Canis lupus familiaris: one gene and its partner. The protein of the gene in region 2 interacts with the protein of the main gene of each other region in a biochemical or structural test. Links are inferred from orthologs where the notes say so. Each region holds a gene or a part of one and is shown on either strand. Other genes may lie near its edges.

Region 1 (5,511 bases), on a different chromosome or scaffold from region 2:
TGCACCTGGCTCGACCTGCTTGTCACACCTGCCCACGAAACACTGGGCCCCGGATCCACCTGGACGACCCAAGTTGCGGCCACTGGAGCACCGTGTGCCCCACACTCCGGGACCACACCGGCTGTCAGCACCGACTCTGGCGATCAGTACCCCCCACCCACTCGGGCTCTCTCTTGCTCCCCATGGTGGCCAGGGGCTGCGGCCAGCCTTCACTCAGGCCTCCGGAGAGCTTCCTCCTAGCAGGCCGCCTGGCCCCCATGCCATCCATTATTCCTTTCTCCCGAGCCCCTTACCTCTGGCATGTTGCATATGGATGTTGGCTTATAGCTTATCTGTCCTCTCTAGAATCTAAACCCTGTGAGCATAAAGTGGTTTGGGAGAGTCTTGGGGTTAATTCCTGTATCCTCAGCACCAGAACCACGCCAGGCACGGGGGGGGGGGGGGGGGGGGCATTCTTGATGCCTGTTCATTTAATGCAGGAAGCAGAGAACAGCTCCAGTGCAGAGTTCATGGGAGGTGGCAAGTTAACAGGTTTGCAGTTAGCAGGGCTGCCTCCCAAGGAGGACAGGAAAGAGCCTCAGGACAAGCTTTGGGTGTTGGTGGGAGAGGCAGTCTGGAGCAAGCTCTGGCAGAAAGCCTCTGGTGGGTTATAGGCCAGCTCACTGAGGTGCAGCCACTGACCACGTGCCTAGGAATCATCCGTAGGAGCCTATGATCAGCTCCAGGGTGAGTTGTCCCAGAGGCTTGCTGTACCCGACTTTAATGCTGGTGTTCTATAGACTGAGTTGTCTGTGAATCCTGGAGATGAAGATCCCCTGCTCCCCAACCCTCACTGGAATCAACCATCAATGCTGACAGCCCTGCAGGGAACAGTCAGTGATGGAGCCGGGGCCCTGCAGGTCACCAAGGGATAGAGGACAGGGGTCCAGGTCAGGAAATCAGCATAGGCACAAGGGCATGTGGCAGGTATGGCCCAGCTAGACTGAGACTGGCTCAGCTACACAAGCTGCAAGGAAGCAGAGTGGGAGCCCTAGTCCCTGGTCTCATTCCCAGGCCTTGGCTCTGGAGCAGGAACCAGAACTTAGCCAGGCTCAAACTGAGCACAACTTTGTGAAATGGCTCGAGGGCCACCCAGAGCAGGGGGTGAGGTGGGTCTCTGCCATGCTGACAGGACCCCCTGTGCAAGTTCAGCACGGCAGGGTTCACTAGACCTGAACCCTAGTGTCCTAACTCCCAGTCTTCTTTAGAGGGGGCTCCCAGCAAGAGGATCTGTCCCTAAGTGTCTCTCTTGGGAACCAGAGGCACTAAAGCAGAATCTAAAGATAGGCAAGTACCCATCCAGCCCCCAGACATGGCCACATGCCAAATGGCCCCCAGACATGGCCCCCCACATGCCAAATCCTATGAGCCCCCCCCCCCCGCTGAACACCTCCCTGTCTAGACCTTCTCAAACCTGGCACCTACCCCACTTCAGTGCCTAGCTTCAGCCAAGTGGCCCACTGCACCCTGACCAGGTGGACTGGAGCCCAAGGTCTGATTGCTGCCATGGCCTTGGCAAGTTGAGGCCACTGTGGTAAGTTCCGGCCAGCTGCCAGTCACTCCTTGTTTACCAGTCTCACCTGGTGTCTAGGCCTATGGCAGGCCAGGTCAGCCATCCATGGCCAAGCAGGGTCCTGATGCACCTTCCCCTCCCTGCTAACACCCAAGAATCCTCAGAACTTTGAGACAGCCACTAGGTGATCAAACTGCCCCCAGCACACTGGACCTTTTGGGGGAAAGTATGCAGAGCCCCAGCCCTGGGCTGTGCTCTGAGGATGAGGATCCAGATCTCCATATCCCTCAAGGCCCCTGTGACAGTCACCAGGGAACCAACCCAGCGACCAGGAAACCACAAGCAGGAGACAGGAGAAAGGTAGAGTCTACAACAGCATTAAGGAAAAAGGGAATTTTATTCTTTCAAGAAAATGTACTAACAGGTAGAGGGAAGGAGCATGCTGGCCACATCCCCTGTTCTAAGCAGGGGTCTGAGATGAGGCCAGACCCAAGAAGGGCTCAGGAGGAGCTAAGGGGACTCCCTGTGGCACCGGGGAGAGGACCAGGCAGGCCCAGGGGTGGGACTTTGTTCTGTTAGCACCAGGAACCACCGCAGCCACAGCTGGACTCGGAGACAAGGCAGTGGGTGGCCCTGCTCTGCCTCCACCTGAGCAGTCTGAGGAGGGGCTGGTGGCAGAAGGCTCCCTGCAGGTGGCCATCCGAGTATGATTCTCAGACTCACAGACCAACCTCAGTCCCCCCAGCCCCCTGTAAACATAAGAATGAGCTCGTGACCACCAAGCCCCTCAGGACAAGATGAGGGTCCGAGACGTGTGGCTGGGCTTCAAGCGACCCAGGAGCTGCCGGGCTTTCTCTTGCATGAAGAGCTGGTCCCTGGTCCCCCCGCAGGCCACCGTCTTCCAGGCGCTGGTCATCTGGGAGGAGGCAAGAGAGTTACCATCCAGGCAGGGGCAGCAAGCTCCCAGCAAATGCTGTGATGTGAGCATGGCCAGGAGGAGTAGGGGGCATTTCTACAACTCTCGGTCTTCTTCAAGCCACAAGTCTTCTTGTGGTCCCTCCAACTCCCTAGTGGCCCTGGAGAAGTGACTCCTGTTTCAGGGCTTCCTTAGGTATACAGCAAAGAGGTTGGACCGGCAACATGGCTGTGCCCCTGCCCATGTGGTGCCAGCCTCCTCACGAGGAAAAGTTACAGCCAAGCAGGCTAGTGGGAAGGAGCAGTAAGAAATTCATGAAATATAGACAATGAGGTATGAGCAGCCAGGGCAGCCCCTACCCCTGAGGACAGACATGTGCTAAGCAACTAAAAACGGAGACCATGACTTAATTACAAGTGAGGTGACACCATAAAAGGGCTCACAGGCGGGGGGGGGGGGGACGGGGGGGGACGGGGGGGACTCCTGGGTGCCTCAGCAGCTGGACATCTGCCTTCGGCTCAGGGTGTGATCCCAGGGTCCAGGGATCGTGTCCCACATCAGGCTCTCTGTGGGGAGCCTGCTTCTCCCTCTGCCTGTGTCTCTGCCTCTCTGTGTCTCATGAATGAATAAATAAAATCTTAAAAGGGGGGTAGAGGCTCTAGCAGATGGGATCCCTCCCCAAGGGGATCTGGAGCAGTGTCCAGACTGAGATCTGAAGTGTAAACTAGTCAAGCAGAGTCTCAGAAGGGCATCTGGGCACGGGCAACAAATAAGCAAAGTCCCCAAGGGTAATAGGACATTGGTGGCCAAGCACTCACAGGGGCAGGTGTTGGAAAGTGGCTTCGGGGCTTCTGGGCAGCCACTGGCTTCTCCGGTTTGGCCTGCAGGAAGCCCTCGTTGAGCAGACTGGTGTCCTCTTTGATGCCTGACACCATGAGGCTAGAGGAACTCGACAGGACATTTGTGGGCTGCAACAAAAACCAAGCCAGACTCACCCTTCTGCCATAAGCATGATGGGAAAGAAGGAAACCAGTCACATCCCAGCACCTCCACCTCTGGGCTATAGGATTTGGAGCAGGACAGTAACTTCTCTAAGCCTGTGCCCCCTTCCAGATGGGGAATTCTCTGTAAAGTGCCCGTTTCAGAGACTGACAACTAATAGATGCCCAGTAATGCTGCTCCCCTTTTACATGGACATGGTCTCTCCCACCACAGCCTCAGGCAGGGTGGGGGTGCTCTAGTTTCTCCTAGGACTAGAAATCTCTACAAGCAGTCAGATGCTGGCATCAACCAGCACACACATAGAGCTACACAAAGCACCCACCACCCATCCAGCCTCCCGGCTCTGCTTGACCTTTACCCTAAAGGTAAAGAGTCACTGGGCTCAGTACAGTGAAAGGCAAAGGCAAGAACCTGAGGTTTGGGTAAACTAAGAGATCCTAAAGAACAAGAGCCAGCATTAGGACTTTGCAAGGTCCACTCCACCCCAAATCCTGTGCTCTAAAGTACTTGCCAGAGCTTTACTACTGAGCAAGTATGTTACATGCCCAGTTGCAGGTCTGTTGCAGGTCTGGCTGCACAGCATGAAGTCCCCAGCCTGCTGGGGCTCCCTGCCCAGTGATGCTTCTCTGCGAGGGCTATGGCTGCAGCAGTCCTAAATCCTCAGATGTGCAGGATCTGATCAGGCAATCCTTTGTCTCATGCCTCCCACCACCCCTCTCACTGCCTCCCACTGGGCAAAACCCCCCACTGTCAGCTGGGAGGGATCAACAGTGTGGTGTGCTGTCCTGAGGGCAGGCTCTGTGTAGGCAACAGCCCCATTCCTGAGCTCAGCCTGGAACTAGACAGCACCGTTCCCAGGGCTGATGTGTCCCAACCACCTGGCCGTGCACATCACCAACCCTCTCCACATCACCCCCATGAGAATAGAATATGACAGAAGGTGCTGGGGACCCAGATCCATGGTTTTCCAATGTGTTCCAGCAATGCAACTCTAGCAACGCAATAAACCCTTCTGTGAAAGACACATGCACAGCTGCCTTGACTGAAACAAGGGGTGGGTGCCCAGCCCCAATTTCTCCATCAGCCCCTTACAGCTGAGCCTGACACCCAGAGCCCCATCCAAGAACCCCAGACCACTCCAGCGCCAGGGTCCCCTCACAGCTAAAGGGTTCCAAAGCCAGAGGACCTCCAGGGAGAGTCTATCCTCCCTGAGGCAGAGGTGCCTTCTGCAGTTCTGGGCAGGGGGAGCCAGGGCAGCTTCTCTCTGACCCCTTACCAAGGACAGCACCTTGGGCAGTGTAGACATCACCAGCTTCACATCCTCATCCACGATGTCCAGAGCCAGGGACTTGCGGACCTTCTTGATGGGGCTCCGCCGCAGCTAGGGGTGGGGAGGAGGGAGACAGAGCAGACAGCTGGGATTCCTCTAGGTCACCACTAGCACTTTGGGGATGCCTGCCCCAACTACCCTGGTCACAGGTCTATACCCTGATGCAGTGGAGCCTTCGAGCCAGGCCCCCAGCTGACGAGGTTTGGGGGAAGGGAGGGGTGGATGTATGCATGAGGACCAGAGGACCCTGGCCCCATCAGATTTAGCACCCAGGACAAACCATCCTGCCAGATGCAACCACAGGGAGCCAGGACACAAATGCCTCCACCCAGAGACCCACTCCTCATTCCCAAATGGATCATGCACAGTTCCCAAGCCTCTACCACACCAAACGCACCCCTAAAGAGGCCCAGGATAGAATCATCCAAGTTACACCTCAAGTACCCACCTGCAGACGAGAAACACATACATAAAACCTGAGGAACACGGGCCTGTTACAGGAATACCTTGCCCCACACCTGTGCCTCCAATAAATAGGTCAGGGGTCAGCTCCAATACTGGGCGGAGCTCTGGGACTAACTAACTCACCCCCCAACCCAGCAGTGTGCCCTAAATAGGTGCTGCCATGGCTCAGAACCACCATCTGACATGGAGAAGCCAGGGAGGGCTGTCGGTCAAGTTCTCTGAACCTATACACCCAGGGGCCCCTGC
Region 2 (6,836 bases):
AGCATAGGGGAAACTGCAGGGGTTCAACATTATCAGGTAAGACATTCAGTTTAAAAATTCATTGCATTCACTAACCCTCCACAGGCAATTGTGAAAATAAGGCATTACTTCATGGTTTTCTCCTGCTAGTTACATGCTATTGAATGCTGCAGGCGATTATGAGTACAGAGTACCACCAGCCATAGGTGAGTCGGATTACCTGTGTTGAAATCCAGCAGGAAGTGAAGGTCTGACTTGAGTGTGCTGGTGTCTACCCCACACACATCCTCAAATGCCATCCCCTCTCTCCCAGTGCAGCTGTCTCTGTCTCCTTGCTCAGCCTCATCCATGTAGATATGAAATCCTTGTTTGGCTGGCACCTGGACCCTGCAGTCAGAGAACACTTTCTTTCCAGCTGGAGGGACGACATTTTCTGATCCAGAGAAGCACCGGATTGTTGTGATCCCCTGGAAGAGGATTAAGTTTTTTGTGAGAGGCCACCCTGAAGATAGTATAGGTGATATGAGCTTGTGTGACCCAAGCCAGCAAGCCAGAAAGATGCGAACAGGCTTAAATTGAAATATCTAGGTCTGCAATTTAATTTCAGAAAATGAAGCTTCTGAAATATGACTTCTCCCTTATCTTTATCTACATCTAACATTTGGGAAAAGAGCTACCTATAATTTGTCATCTTCCTCATATATCTATCAAAGGAAACTCAAGATTATAGAAAAAAAAAGAAACCATAGCTATCCTCCAAAATGAGGATAGGTATTGCATGGGTGAGTGGGTAGAGGGAGATTGTTAATTGGCTTTCATACTTCTAGCCTATAGGATTTTATAAGTACCTCTTGATATATAGTCACTGAGTTCCTACAGTCTTCCTCCTTAAACAGCTTTCAGTAAGTAAGTGCCTATAAAGTTTCCATTTTATACTCAGATATTTAGAAACATGATTGTTTTAGAAACTCCTACCATTAACTTCTCTTACAAAGCCATAGAATCTCTTGTATGACATAATGTCCCTTGAGGAAATCTATCAGAGATAAAAGTATGAGCACAGGTAGATGGTATTTAATGCTAAGAGGCTTGAAAGTTTGAAAGGGAGTGAGTGCATATTCAGATCAAATACCAAGTCCTGGAGCACTCTTTTAGATATTGAGGAAGAGTGGCCAATGAGCAAGGTGGAAAACCAAGAGAGTATGGTTCTCCAGGCCGAGCGAGAAGAAAGGATTTCAAGGAATAAAGAATAATCAAATGTGTCAAAGGCTGCTGGATTAGTCAAGTAAGGAATGGACAAAAAAAAGGAGTCAAAAGAGAATAAGAGAAGAATTAAAGACAAGAGAGTATTCGCTCAACAAATCTTCACAAGCTACCCTGGCCAAACACTGTTCGAAGCACTGAGAATACAGCAGTGAGCCTCAAATCCCAATCCTCATCCTGATGGGAGTTTATGATCTAGCAGGATAAACTCTCGAATTATTGGCTGTAAAATGAACAGTCACTGCTTTGTAGTTTAAAGGTTTTAAAGATGGAAAAAGAATACAATATATTTATATGCTTATGAGTTTGACCAGTAGACAAGGCTGAGAAAGGAGAGTTCTCAACATCCCTGAAGAAGCAAGAGGACATGAGGTATACTACATGTGTGAGAGTCACCCTGCCTGAGAGCAGGGAAGTGTAAGTCATGTAGCAGGGTGGGGATGGTAGGGTATATGGCACGTGGGAACGTGCAGAAATTCCCTTTTGGTTCCTTTTATATTTTTAAGATAACAGGATCACAAGGCCATCAACTGAGAGTAAGGAAGGAAGGTAGAGGTTTGGGAGGATTAAAAAGAAATCTATAAAACAGATTTCTGAGAAGTTGGTAAAGGAATAGAGCAGGGGAATGGAGAAGTAGTGCTAGGCAACATAAAAGGTTAACTAATAGTTCTGAATTTAAGTTAAGCCCGGGCTCACTGGGCAGAACTGATGATTCGTAAGAACCAGGTTTCAGATTTTCCGTTTTAAAAAAGTAAATATTGCTAAGCAAATTAAGTTTGTTAAAACCACTTTCACTTAATTTCACCCCCCTCCTCCGAAAGCTTTGAAGAGATCACTTTGGGTATTTTTCTCTCCACTGATCAGATGCCACCAAAAGGCAGATACCTTGAGTGGTCAGTGGATGAAGGGCTCTAATCTGGCCTCTACCCTTTTTTTTTTTCTTTCTTTCTTTCTTTCTTTCTGACCTTTCTTAAATCTTTGAAATTTTCTTACCTATTAAATGGGAAGAATTCTTGACCTACCTACTTCACTAGACTATTGCCAGCATGATTCCATTACAGGTGTAAAATATAAGCTTAAGGCATCATTCTGAGCGGCCTAATAACAGACTAAGGGAAACTTTTTTCTACCCCAAAATTCAGTCTTAAGGATCCAAATCCCTTGTTTTGCATTTTAGGTGTCTGATTTTGTTTCTAATCTATTCAGGGAGTCTATTCACCTACCTATGATGAGTCCAGCAAAAGCAACTAATATCTATTATCCATTTGCCCACCTGCCTTTTTTCACGGACTGGGGAGATGTCTACTTTCAAAACACACTTTCAGAAGTAATTTCATCTAGCCGTACCCAATCTGTAGTCTAACACCACTTGCAACGAACATAGTAAAGCATAGCAAATTCAGGTTTGCTTCAGGCACAGTCTAGATCAGTCTGAACGCCACTCTGCTCTGGAGGAACCCCCAGTTCCATAGTTTATTTTGGTGTGTTAACACTTGCTCTTGGCCCAGCACTTACATGGCTTTACATGTACTTAATTCAAATAGTTCCTAGACCTGTTTCCTTGATATTATTGGAAAAATAATAAATTATTCACTCTTTCTAGCTGAAAAAGGGGACCAAAGTCAGTGTCCCTACAGTCCAGATTCCAGGGCTGCAATACTCCAGGGTATTCTAGGTCCGACTCCAAGAGAAACCCACCTCCTACCATGACGTGATGGCCCTTGTCACTCATTACCTGGCCACAGGTCCTCCCGTACTGCCCATTCTCAGTTAGCACCCCTAGCACTGTTCTTTGCGGGGGATCCTGGCCGAGTTGGGCTCTGGTTATCATCTGACAGGCATCGGGACCTCGAGACACCGGAGCTAGGGCTACTCCACTCTTGGAGCTGCTGCGATGCATACCCTCCGTCGCCACAGAATGCAACTATTAGGTAAGGAAAAAGAGACAACCCAATGGTTAGTCCACGCTCTTCCATCATGGGCTCCAAGCATGCAATGAATGTCTAGGAGGGAGAACACTAAAGCGTATCATCTTCTCTGCAATTGTTACTGCTGAAAGGAAGGGCAAGAGCCACGCTGCAAGGGATCCAAGCGCCTTTGAACCCAAACAGCGATTTGAATCTCTCAAGGCTTTCTTCTAAGACCTGACTGAGGCTGGAGGAAGAGATTAATCTTGACAACCTCCAAGCAAGGATACGGAGTCCGGCGTTCACTGGGGAGCCTACAGCTACAAGCCCGAGTCTTCGCCCACCGCGGCGGTGCTTCTCTCATCCTTTCTACCCGCCCCCCCCCCCACCTCCTTGCAAACAAAAGACCCGGTGTATACATCACTGCGGGAAGGTACGTCCCCTTCCCAAATGACAAGCAGGGTCCTCCTCCGCGGCCCTCCTTCCACCAGACACAAGGCCCCAACCCCCGACTGGAACTACCGCGGGCCTCGCTCCCCTCCGCTTGGCGTCTTTACATGAGTCTCCGACAATTAGCAAGTGCACACGAGGGCCGGGGCTGCGGGGCCGCCGGAGGGGGCGGGGACGCGGCGCCGACACGTGCCAGCGGGGGCGCCGGGCTCCCAGCGGCGGTGGCCGCGGCGCTCAGCTAATCACCTCCCCCGCGTCTGTTGAACCCGCCAATCGGCGGCGCGGCCAGGCCTCGCGGGGCCGCTTCCATGCCAACCGCAGCGGGCGGGCGCGCCCCGGGGCCGCCTCGCCATGACGACCCCCTCACCCGACGCGCTGCGGGCCGCGGCGCCGCGCCCCCGGGGGCTCAGGGCCGGGCGGGGCCAACGGGCGGCGGCCCCGGCTCCCCCTGCGCGGGGCGGGGCGGGGCGGGGCGGGGCGGGGCAGGGGGGCGCCGTCGGCACACGCGCGCTCCTGGAGGCCGCCGCCGGGCGGGGAGGGAGGCGGCCGCCCCGCGACGGCCCGGGCTCTGGAAGGGGCTCCCCCGGGCCGGTTCCCCCAACAGCCCTAACGTCTCCCCGGCCCCGGCGCCGGCGCCGGCCCCCGCCCCCCGCCCCCCGGCCCGCTCCTGAGAACCTTGGCTCAGGAGGGCGACGCGGGGCCCTCGGGGCTGCGCAGGCCGCGCTCGCTCCCGGCCGCGGCTCACACCTGCGCCCCCAGGGCGGCCGAGCAGCCGCGCCGCGGCCCCCGCCCCGAGCCCGCGCCTCCCGGTCGGCGGCGGCGCCTCGGCCCCGCCCATCCTGGGCCCTCGTGCGCCCGAGGCCGCCCCTGGCCGGCGCGATGCAGTGCGTGGGAGGCCGCCGCCGCCACAGGCCTCCGCACGGTTCCGGCGGGCGAGGCGTGAAGCGGGCCGGGGCAGCGAGGTGGGCCCGGAAGGGGAAGGAACGCGGGCGGCAGCGCCGGGCCGGGCCGGGCCGGGCCGGGTCGTCGAGGGGGCGGCGGCGGCCGTGGGGGCCTGGCGGCGGCCCGGCCTCGTGAGCAGGGGGACCCCGCGGCCCCGGGTGCGCAGACGGCGCAGGGCCTCGTGGTCAAATAATCGTCGTTACGGTTTCATGAATGTGTGTGTACACACGCAATACATTGCATGCGCGCTCTGCGTTTTGTTTTCTGAGTCTTCTTAAAACACGCATTCCTAAGTTTCTAAAGCAGACCCCCAAAGGCCGTTTAAATGTCCACTCTAAGGAATGGTTAGTTACCGCCTTCTTCCTGATTCCGAATGGAAATGATTGTCAATCTTACCCCCCCCCCCCCCAAAATCTTAAGTGTTCTTCATTAGTGAGCTTGGGATGCCGTTATTTCATGGGAAAATGGAAGTATTCTACAGAAAGTGCGATGAAAGCGTCTGATCAGTTAGCTGTCAAGGAAGTTGGCAAGCATCTTAGAAATCAGTGCCAAGTGCTGGAGGAGCACAGAAATTGATCTTGCTTAGGATGAAACTAACTTTTATCACGTTTATCACGTCTTGACCTCAGTGGGGAGCAGCAGTCCTCCTGCACCCCGGAATTCCTGTGCCTTTGAAATTGAAGGCAACACAGGGTCCCCGGTAACATCCTGATTTTGGCAACAGAGGAGTCAGGTGCAGGCAGCGACCAAAAGCTCTGCTTCGCAGGGTGCCTCTGCCTAATGGAAGAAAAGCAGCTTTCTGCACTCGCCCGGCAGGGGTTTTGGAAGTCTTCCAAGAGCCCTCCCCACCTGGCGACACTGTTGTGGCTTCTGAGGACGATGAAGGCCTCAAGTGGTGAGCTCCATCAGGGAGGGAGCAAGTCTGGCCTAGAGCCTTGGTGGCCTTGGCAGGTTCAAGAATTCTCTGCATTCATGTGACCCAACATTCCACTACGTCCTTTTTGATCTGGTTTCCTCAACAAAAAAATGATGGGAAACCCCACTCTGCCTTTCTTCCGAAACAAAGGAGCTAGTGCAATGTTTGTTACTGCACCTGTGGTTTTGGTTCTCTTCTCTGTGCTTGAAGCTTGAGCAGGGAAGGGGAAAGGGTAGCCCTGGGTTCCTGCAGAGGCAGCAGAGGCAGCCGGCTGAAGTTCAGTGTTCCGACCTTAACCTAGTCAGGACGAGAAGACCAGGCTACTAAGGTGTATAGTCTCACTCAGCTGTCTTGAGTCTGAAAACTACCTTTAAAAAAGAAAATAACTTTTTTAACAAGATGAGATCCTACCATCATTTCATAGTTCTTTTCCCTTAATACATATGAAATATTATCACTACATCTTACTATCCTCTCCTTCCACTTTGTTAAACTTGGCAAAGGAAAGTGATAATGGCTTATTTTACTGTGCTATCTTAGAAGTATTAAATCATTGCAGTCCTCCGGTCAGATCTTAAATTGGAGAGTAATTCAGATGAACTGATATTTATATATATGTTTATGTGTATGCATATAAATCCAAATATTTGTATAACATGCAATATTATGGCTTTCTTAAGTATTTGAACAAGTAAAGATGTATGTCATAAAAAACAAACAACTGATAAATAGGTGCACAATTTTCATTAAACATTTAAACGAGAAACAGCCTTATCATTTAGAAAAATAGCAGAGAGGATAGAACAGACTTTCTCATAGACTGTGCACTTTTAGTGAGCTGCACAGGTTTAATTTAGCTGTTACAGCAAAATCAGGATTAGAACTCAAAGGTCAATTTTAAATCTCTGCATGTTAAGGTATTGAGAAGTGAACCATACATTTAATTATAAATCTTTAATGTCTAAAATATTTGGGGAAAGTTACCGATATAACACTTTCTTAGCTTAAAAACAACGGGTCGGCACTTCTGCCTGATATTCCGTACTCAGCTAGCTTTGACACTGGGATTAATTTCCGTAATGAGGATGACAGCTGAATTCTTTACTAGGAATTTTGAAAACCCAAGGGTCCTGTTAAAATCACTTCCTCTCCCCTCTAAATTACAATTCAAAGACAATCTTTTCTGTTTGCCAGTAATTACCTGGCATTTCAGAAGCTGTTATTACTTCTATTACATTTGCTCATGGTAGCTAGTAATTAACCTCCTGTTCAAACATTTCAGTTTTCATTAATTTGTATGAAATCAAGTTGATTTTCAGCATAAGGCTGAAAAAAAGAGATGAAAAAGTAGAAGAGCACCCTTTTTTTCCCCAGGACTG

Evidence for each region.
Region 1: the proteins of CCNA1 (region 2) and MYBL2 form a complex in vitro, tested with the Homo sapiens proteins (2 studies listed by BioGRID, with this or other methods). The link is inferred for Canis lupus familiaris from reciprocal best matches to the Homo sapiens genes CCNA1 and MYBL2.

The regions. Positions count from the first base shown.
Region 1 is NC_049245.1:32,002,731-32,008,241, reverse strand, and holds the end of MYBL2 (myb-related protein B), read right to left. Parts: intron 4,852-5,511; coding exon 4,747-4,851; intron 3,437-4,746; coding exon 3,287-3,436; intron 2,469-3,286; coding exon 2,340-2,468; 3' UTR 1,931-2,339; downstream 1-1,930. UniProt on the Homo sapiens protein: Transcription factor involved in the regulation of cell survival, proliferation, and differentiation. Transactivates the expression of the CLU gene.
Region 2 is NC_049246.1:4,260,267-4,267,102, forward strand, and holds the start of CCNA1 (cyclin-A1), read right to left. Parts: upstream 4,347-6,836; 5' UTR 4,275-4,346; intron 3,824-4,274; exon of another isoform or gene 3,569-3,823; intron 3,167-3,568; 5' UTR 3,143-3,166; coding exon 2,978-3,142; intron 447-2,977; coding exon 200-446; intron 14-199; coding exon 1-13. UniProt on the Homo sapiens protein: May be involved in the control of the cell cycle at the G1/S (start) and G2/M (mitosis) transitions. May primarily function in the control of the germline meiotic cell cycle and additionally in the control of mitotic cell cycle in some somatic cells.